Oryctolagus cuniculus: one gene and its partner. The protein of the gene in region 1 interacts with the protein of each later gene in a biochemical or structural test. Links are inferred from orthologs where the notes say so. Each region holds a gene or a part of one and is shown on either strand. Other genes may lie near its edges.

The links.
Region 2: the proteins of ZFP36 (region 1) and YWHAB form a complex in vitro, tested with the Homo sapiens proteins (2 studies listed by BioGRID). The link is inferred for Oryctolagus cuniculus from reciprocal best matches to the Homo sapiens genes ZFP36 and YWHAB.

The regions. Positions count from the first base shown.
Region 1 is NC_091449.1:15,543,291-15,547,613, forward strand, and holds ZFP36 (mRNA decay activator protein ZFP36), read right to left. Parts: upstream 3,053-4,323; 5' UTR 2,917-3,052; coding exon 2,893-2,916; intron 2,131-2,892; coding exon 1,219-2,130; 3' UTR 532-1,218; downstream 1-531. UniProt on the Homo sapiens protein: Zinc-finger RNA-binding protein that destabilizes several cytoplasmic AU-rich element (ARE)-containing mRNA transcripts by promoting their poly(A) tail removal or deadenylation, and hence provide a mechanism for attenuating protein synthesis.
Region 2 is NC_091442.1:14,271,188-14,275,482, reverse strand, and holds the start of YWHAB (14-3-3 protein beta/alpha), read left to right. Parts: upstream 1-1,269; 5' UTR 1,270-1,405; intron 1,406-4,295. UniProt on the Homo sapiens protein: Adapter protein implicated in the regulation of a large spectrum of both general and specialized signaling pathways. Binds to a large number of partners, usually by recognition of a phosphoserine or phosphothreonine motif.

The DNA of each region.
Region 1 (4,323 bases):
CGAGGCCGCCGCCGCTCGGGCCCCGCCCGCACGCGCAGGCCTCGGAGCTCGACCCCAGCCGGAGCCGAGGCCGCGACTCGCAAGGCCCGGAAATACCTCGGGACCGGGACGGCCGAGGCCTCCGGTTCTCAGAGAGCAGGGCCCAGATCTCAGGGGTCCCGAGGTTCTCGGGTCTTGAGACGGGAGCGCCCCCTCCCCCGCACTCCGAGCCCAGCAGACCCCAGACTCCACGGGCCGTCCCCGCCCGCCCCGCGCCTGGCGCCGGCACATTCCGTCCTCTCGCCGCCCCGGCCCCGTGGGGACGGAAATGTCCCGTCCCCGCCCGCTCGGGCCTAGCAGCCCGGCAGGACGCGAGTGCAGCGTCCCCAGACGCCTCGGGAACCGGCTCGCCCGGCTCCCCCCCGTGACCTCACCTGGCCCCGCCCTCTCAGGTGAACGGCGGGCCTGGTGACGTCACTTCCTGCCAGGTAAGCGCCGCAGGGCGGCTGGGCTCTCGCCCCCTCCCCGCCCCGGACAGCACAAAGGCCAGGGTTCCAGTTTACACGCCGGTTCCTTTTATTTAAAAATTCTAAAACACAAAAATAGACTTTTAAGGTAACAATATATATTACTTAATATATTATTATAGCATACTTAATAATTATACCAGTTTCCAATATTACAAAAAAGAGGAGGAAAAAATACAAAGGAAGCAGACGACTCAATATATATAAATACTATAAAACCTTATTAGAATAAATAAAGTCGTCATAAATAAAGGGCCCGTCGGTTGGGGGAGGGGTTTGGCAACGGCTTTGCTTGCTTGTGGAGGGAAATTTGAGCACCAGGAGTCTCCCTCGGGGAGGCTCCACTCACCACCAGACGCTGGGACCTCAGGAAGAAGTGGGAGGGGGCGCGCAGGGGGCTACTATTCACAGCACATGAGATTCCAGGAGATTCAGACGGGGTGCAGGTCGGGGGGGACGGGGCTCACTGTCTCCCTCCAGTATGCTACATCTTCAAAGAACCCCAGAGAGCACTCTGTCCCCCAACACCGTGAACACTGAGCTTGCACACCGGGGACCTGCCCCAGCGTGGGGTCAGGGGTGAAGTTAATGCATTTTGGAATGCGGGGGAGGGAGGGACCCACTTGAATGAATTAGGATCCCTTCCCCACAGGCCCTGGGCCCAGCGGAACCCACGGCACACCGCGGCGCCCCTCTATCCAACGGATCTCCGTCACTCAGACACGGAGATGCGGTTGAAGATGGGGAGGCGCCTGGGGGCTGCAGGCGGCTGGGGTGGCCCGAAAGCTCCCGTCTCGAAGACAGGAGAGTCGGACCCCCCCAGGCTGCTGCCGCTGCTGGCGTACTCATCCGGGTCTGAGCCCAGGGAGTGCGCCGAGGGGCTCCGGGCCAGGCCACCCAAGGGCCCCCAGATGCTGACAGGGTTGGCCCGGCGGCAGGAGGGGCAGCAGGCGGGCGTGGGGTCCCTTCGAGCCACGGGGGTCCCAGGGGCGGCAGAGAAGGCCGAGGGTGAAAGCGGAGCGTCCCCCGGTGGGGGCGGGGAGCTGGGTGGCGAGAAGGAGCAGGAGGACAGGGAGGGGCCTGCGAGGCCCGGCGGCGGAGGCGATGTCCTGCGGCCGGAGGGCAGGCCGGAGAAGCTCACGCTCTGGCGCAGCACGTGGGGGTGGCCGGGGGCGGCCAGGTCCTCGCTGGGGTTGTGGATGAAGTGGCAGCGGGAGCCGTAGGGACAGCGGCCCTGGAGGTAGAACTTGTGGCAGAGTTCAGTCTTGTACTTGGGGTGGCGATTGGCTTGGCGCAGCTCGCCCAGGCCATGGGCAAACTGGCATTTGGCGCCGTAGCGGCAGCGTCCACTCTCCGAGAAGGTCCGACACAGCTCAGTCTTGTAGCGGGAGGAGGTGGTGGGGGTCGCCGTGGGCGAGGTGGGCGAGGGCGCCAGCTCCGGGCCCGGGCGGGGAGCCAGGGGTGCGAAGCCAGGGGGTGGCGGCACCCAGCCGCAGCTGCGGCCCTCTACCAGGCTGGTGGAGCGGCCCGGCAGGCGAGAGGTGATCCCAGCCGGGCCCCAGAGTCCCGAAGGATCCGTCCCTCCGTGGTCGGATGGGGGGTCAGGGTGCAGCGACACGAGGCTCTGTGGGAACAGGGATCGGGTTAGGACACCCGCAGACGCAGGGCGAGGCGCGCCCCAGCTGCAGGGCACTTCAAGACCTTGCCAGGCCGGTTTGTGGGCTCCCGGCCGGAGCCCCACCCGCCCACGGCAACCGGGATTTCCGGAACCCAGCGGCGATCCCGGTTCAGGGGCTCTGCGTTGAGCCACGGCTGGAGGAGGAATCCCAGCTTCCCGGGAGGATCAACAGGGGACCCTAAAGTCAGGTCCCCAACTTGGAGCCGCTGGGCCTTCCCGGATATGAGGAGCGCAGCGGGTTAGTTCTCCAGTTTCACAACGGGAGGAGCCTGGCAGAGCCAACTCGGGAGTCTGGTCTTTGGGGTTTGAGTTCCCGGAGAAGGCGGGTCGAGGCGTCAGAGGCAGAAGTCGGCTTCCCCGCCCCGAGACTCAGCCCCAAAAACGCCTCCGCGCGGCACCGCGCCCTCGGCGACTACGAGGGGTGAGCCAGGTGCGGCGCCGTTTCCGCCTCCGACCAGCCCTGGTCTGAGCAAAGTTTCCCAGCGGCCACTCCACGGGGCCCCCACCCAAGTGCCGGCCGGGCCGAGAGCCGGCAGGCGGGGGCTCCATTTTTACTTCCCACCCCCCACCCCCGCCCCCCGATAATCAGGTCGGTCCGGAAAAGGCAGCCGGGGGCCGGGGTCGGAGGGTGTAGCGCAGAAGAGCCCCCCCCCCCAGCTTGGCAGGGAGGCTAGCGTCCCGGCGCTGGGGAGTCCGGAGGGGACTCACCTCGTAGATGGCTGTGAGATCCATGGCGGCGCGTTTGGCCCTGAGGGATCGGCCCAAAGTCGGAGCGCTGAAACCAGGCTGCGGCTACCCGCGACAGACACCTTCTTATAGGGCAGTGGGGGCGTGGTCGAGAGGGGCGGGCCCAGGGCGGGGCGGGGCCAGGAGGGGCGCTTCCCGGACGCGCGCCCCCGGCGCAGCCCGACGGGCCCTGGGCTAGTCCCCTTCCGCCCGGCTGCCGGCCAGGACGGGGCCTGCGCGCGGCGGGGCGGCCCGGAGGGGAGTGCGTGGGGTGGGGCGCGGGGCGGGAAGGGCGTCTGCCTGCCCAGGTTTCAAGGCTAGAGACGGAGGCCGGAGAATGGAACTGGGACACGGGTGGGGGCAGGGCTGCCGGAGCAACTGACAAGGGCAGAGGCCGAGAGGGCCTGCGCGGCTGACGGCGCGGGGGGTGGGCAGAGGAGAGAAAAAACCGACGAGAAGCAGAGGGAGGGACGGGCTCACACAGCGAGCCAGAGGCCGGCAGGTAGCTGGAAAGGGAGAGACAGGGAGGAAGAGACCCGGGGTGTGTGTGGGGGTGGGGGGGGGAACATGGGAAACAGACGTACACAGGGAGTCGCAGGGACACAGAGACAGGAAGGCATAACGCTGAGAGAAAGGGAGAGACACGCAGAGCCGTGCTGAGAGAGGGTGAGATGGAGGGAGGCGCAGGGAGAGACACCAGAGGTGGAGAGACACAGGCAGAGATTCTACACCGAGGGAGGAGACGACCCCCCCAGAGAAGTTCTGAGGCGGGAGCGGTGCGAGCGAGGGGGGGGGTCGCAAAGAACCCCCAAGAGGAAGAATTAACAAAGAAACAACACCCCCCCCCCCAGGCCCAAAGTCCACTCTGGCCAAGTGCAGGGAGGGAAACCATTCTGCCTGATAGGGCATTCCCTTCTCTGACACCTGCTGGGGCAGCTCCGCCTCGCTCCCAAACCGGAGACCCAGGCCTGGGAGCCGCCGTCATCGAGAGGGGGTGGGGTCGCAGACACCCGCGGGGGCACTCAGGGCTGTCTCCGCTTTCCACGCGCTCACACTGCCGGACACCCACGTCAGGTCACCCTCGCAGGCCCCCAGCCCGGGAGCAGCAGCCGCCCGGCCGCGGGGCCTCTGCCGGACGGCGCCCAAGATGGGACAGGTGGGCGGGCCCTCGCTCCTGGGGAAGACCGCCTCGCCCGAGCGCTGTTTTGAAACGCAAGAAGTGGGTTGTCCCCAGGTGCGGGCCGGCCGGGCTGCGACCGCCAGGGGTGCCCGGGGAGAAGCCTCGGTTGCCCGGGCTGCTTCGCCATGTTGGCGAGTCTTTCATAATCAAAGCGCGGCCCGCAGTGAGAACTCTCGGCTAAGATCTGGGGGGGGTAGGGGGTGCTGGTTTACTTTCCCTCCCCCTCCCCCTCC
Region 2 (4,295 bases), on another chromosome or scaffold:
TCTGGAAAACCTTGATTGTAACACTCAAGGAACTTACTATTGATAGTTTTCAAGGTCTGAGTGATCAGCAAAGGATTTAAGTAGGGACAGAACATGATTAGAATGGCATTAAACATTTTTTAAAAATATACTTGAGAAAGAGCACTCGCATTTACTGGTTCACTCCCCAAATGGCCAGACCAGCCCAGGCAGAAGCCAGGAATAGGAACTCAAACCATGTCTCCCAGGCGAATGGCAGGGATCCAACTGCTGGAGCCATCACCTGCCGTCTCCCAGGGTGGGACTTAGCAAGAAGCTGGAATCTGGGTGCCCCCCACCGTAACTGCTACACCTGCATTTTTAGATCAGTAGGCAGCTGATAGAGGCGGGGCTGGGCATGGTGTGGCGAATTAGATCTCTATCATTAACTAAATAAGGGTAAGGGAGAGATGACAGCAACGCGACCCAGGTACTTTTTTCTTCTGCCGCCAGACTCCCAGGGGAGCAGGGCCCCCTCTCTCCTGTGTATTGCTGTCTCTCCAGCACTAAGCGGAAAACCCGCTCCGCATCTGTCAGCATGAACAGGTGAGAGGCCAGAGAGGGTGAGGGGCCACGCGGCCCCGTGCGCCTCCCTGCAGCTTCCTCAATGAAGAAACCATGTGCACAGGTTTTTTTCAGAAGACCTTCACGTGGCCTCTTCAGGCTATGAGGGCAGGAGATAGTCCCTTAAGTACAGAAAGGCGGATAAACCGAAAACGGGGGGACGAGCAATTTCTGTCTTCCGAGGTCCAGTTATTCGCACAGCACGCAGCCAAAGGGTGTGTGCGCTGGGGCTCCGACCCCCGGGAGGACTACTTCCGGGGTGGCGTGGGAACCTGCACCCTGGGAATCGCTGTGCCTGGCCCTGCCCAGGCTCCAACCTAAGCAGCGCGGGCGCTCCCCCACCCGAGTCCTCCCTGTTCCCACACATCCCATCTCTGGACCTCCACCCCCATCTCCGCCCTCTCTCCTCCCGCCTCCTCTTCCCGTCCCCCCGCCCCACTTCCTTCCCCTTCGGCCGCCTCCTCCCTGCTACCTCTCCCGGCCCTGCGCCCGCCCCGGTCCGCTGCGGCCCTGCACTGGGCTCTTCTTCCTCCTCCCTGCCGTCAGCGCCCCTCTCGGGCGGCCAGGGCAACCCCGTGCCTCACTTGCCCAATGAGAAGACGGCGCAGGGAGGGGCGGGGCTTGAGCCAAGCGGAAGCGGTGGCCGGAGCGGAAGTGGAGCTGCAGCCACCGCCGCCGCCGATTCCGGAGCCTGGTTAGCTGCTGCCGCTGCCGCCCCTGCAGCCGCCGTCGCCGCTGCCTGAGGAGCAGGCTTGGGAAGGAAGCGGTCGCCGCTCTCGGAGCTTCGCTCGGAAGCCTCTTTGCCCCCTGCAGCCCTCCCACGGTGAGTGCGGCGCGGGCCCGCCCGGGGCCCCCAGGGGCCCACGCTCCAGGTCCCCCTCAGCCCGCGGCTGCGATGTCGGCCCTGCGGGTGAGCCCCCGGGGGTGGCGGTGCGCGGCTGCCGCGGCCCTGGCTGCCGGCTGCGGCGCGGGCCCGACCTCGCCGCGGCCCCTCCCTGTTTCCGGGGCCGGGCCCTTCGCCTGCAGAAGCCCGGGCCTCCCGCGCCGCCGGCGGCCCTGCCAGGCGGGCAGGGTGCGGCTCGGTACTGCGGGTCGGGGACGGCTGAGCCTTGGCCCCGGCCCCTCCCTCCTGGCTGGGCTTTTATCCCCGGCGCGACCCCTCCCTGCGCCTCGGTCGGCGAGAACTACCCTTTTCAGCCCTGTCACTGCGGCTCTGGGGCTTTCCGGCTTCCAAAAATTAAAATTTAAGCAAACGCAGGCGAGTTCTTGCGCCCCGGTGCCCCTGCTTGGCTACCCCTGGATGAGTAAGGGGTTTAACCTTGGGAGACAGCAGGGGGGAAACCCCCACCCACTTTGCAGCAAAGCCATTTCATCATCCTCCGCTGGGTACGGAGCCCGGCAGGACCCGAGATTCCCTGGGAAGATCAGGTCGGAGGTTTGAAGCAAGAAAATGCATTTGTTGGGACCGATGTCTGAGTCAGGCCGGATCTCCAGGGGAAAAAAGCCACCAGCTGGTGTTGGGAATATTTTCCCAGGGCATGCGCCGTCATTTAACGCCCGAGTGTTTCGTGTCCTCGGCCCAGATTCCCCCTGACTGTGTGTGAGAGCACGTTTTTCAGTCCCGAATTTCCCTGGTAGCCGGGGGAAGGGATGAGAACGCTCGACTCCTTTTCTATAGAAGCTGAGTCCATTTTTGCCTATTGCAAATGGAGAACTCGCATGTAATGGAGTTTTCAAAGGTGGCAGCATTGGCTAAGACAGTTTGCCAACCTTTCTGTAAAAATACATGGCGTCTTGTCCTTGCCTTTGCTGCAGTTCTCTTTGGTAAAGGCTGGATGGCATCAGGCTCTGATTTTCCTTGCCCTGTGTGGGAGCTGGAATTTGGCAAGATGATGTTGCGAACATAGAAAATCGGCTGGCTACAGGAGCCACGAGGGAGAAATGGAGCGCTGGGAAGCTGAAGGTTCCTTGCACTGATTACTTTGTCTGAATGGTCCACATGGAGGCACACACCATATACAGTGATGTAGAAATGGACACGTGGCCACTGAGATTTCTGCATCTTCCTGTTGGAATTTTGTATGTATAGAAATATTGCTCGGTAGTGAATTTCTTCATTGCTTCCAGTGCACGCCATTTCTTTCTCAGGGATATTTTAGATATCTGAGCCCTCATTTTTTCTGACCCATGTCTCTAACAGCACATAGTATGGAGAGTATAAAAACTGGTCAGTTTTGTCAGGTCCAAGTTGGAATTTTAAGCTTGGCCTTCAAAATGGGTGGCTGCAAATCCAGTAGCAATGGCTGGATTATTTTCCCATCTGCCTTCAATGAGATAAGTCAGTCACCCATCTTACAGATGAAGTCTGTATGAGAAAGGTGATTTGGCCTAGCCCACACACTTAGCTTCACACTGAATATCCTTATTCATCAGTAGCAAATATTTATGGACCGTAAGCCCCTGGAGTATGGCTCCTACCCTGTAATTTTGTGTACATTTCCCATGATGCAGTGCTTGTGTTATGGTGAAGCCATTTTAGAATTGGATCTCCCTGGATCAGGGAGGCAGCCTTTCTGAAACCAGGCTGAGCAGATTCCCATGGTGCTAGTTCCTAGGCAGCGTCTCCGGAGATCTGAGCCACTGCGAAATGTGCATCTTGCCCATTTGGCTGTAGGTGCAGAAACCAAAGGAGTATTGAAATTGGAACCAGGTAAATGCACTTCAGATGTAGGCGGTAATATTTTTTAGTATGATTTGCAGCATTTTAGTTAATCTCTAGTGTGGTCATGAAGCTTTTTTACAAACTGTAAATTGTTAAATGAAAGCTTTTGCTTTTTTTTTTATGACAATTTGCTTTTCTCCAGTTACATTTGAGACCCAGCCCTGCTTTGTGCACATACTGCTTTCAAAAAATGGTGTTGTTACCAATTTTTATTTTGCACATAGAAAATCTAGTCTGTCATTTTCTCATCTGTACAGTGCAAGTGGTGATGCAGCCTTTGATGTATTGTGACAACTCAGTAATTAAAATGAGCATCTGGGATACAGAAGGTGATTAACCACATGCGTGAATGTGCACATGTGCAGATCAGGCGTAGCGTATATTGTATGACATAAACAGGAATGTAGACTACACCTGTTTGATTTATTTATCACCGATGAAGTAGCATCAAACAGTAATAATAATAAATAATAATTACAGTATTTGCTGTGTGCCACAATTTGTTCTAAGCATTTTATATTAGTCTTAATAACAACTAGTGAGAGGTAAATACTGTTAGCCTCATTTTACAGATGAGGAAACTGAGGCACAGAGAAGAATAATTTTCCCAAGACCCCTTCCATGTACAGCTCAAGGTAAGTTCTAGAGTCAGGAAGGAATTGGAGCCAGGTGATCTGGCACTAACAAAGAGTAGGTGTCTACTTGTAGAGCAACACATGCCGATCATTTATTTAAACACCATTTAGCCTTTAATTTCTCTTTACATGTATTCTATATCCTTGAATTTGAATTGTAGCTATTTTTGACAGTAGATCCGTAATGTACTTTATGGGGGGGGGTGCCCATTCTGACCTGTGGGAATGAAGCCGCAGGTGTGCATCATGAAGCACGCCTGGGAGGAATCCAGTTTTTCTAGGGCGAAAGCTCCTGGGTTACTTTGTGGGACACAGACCTAGATTCTTCATCAAAACGAATTTGATCATGACCATCA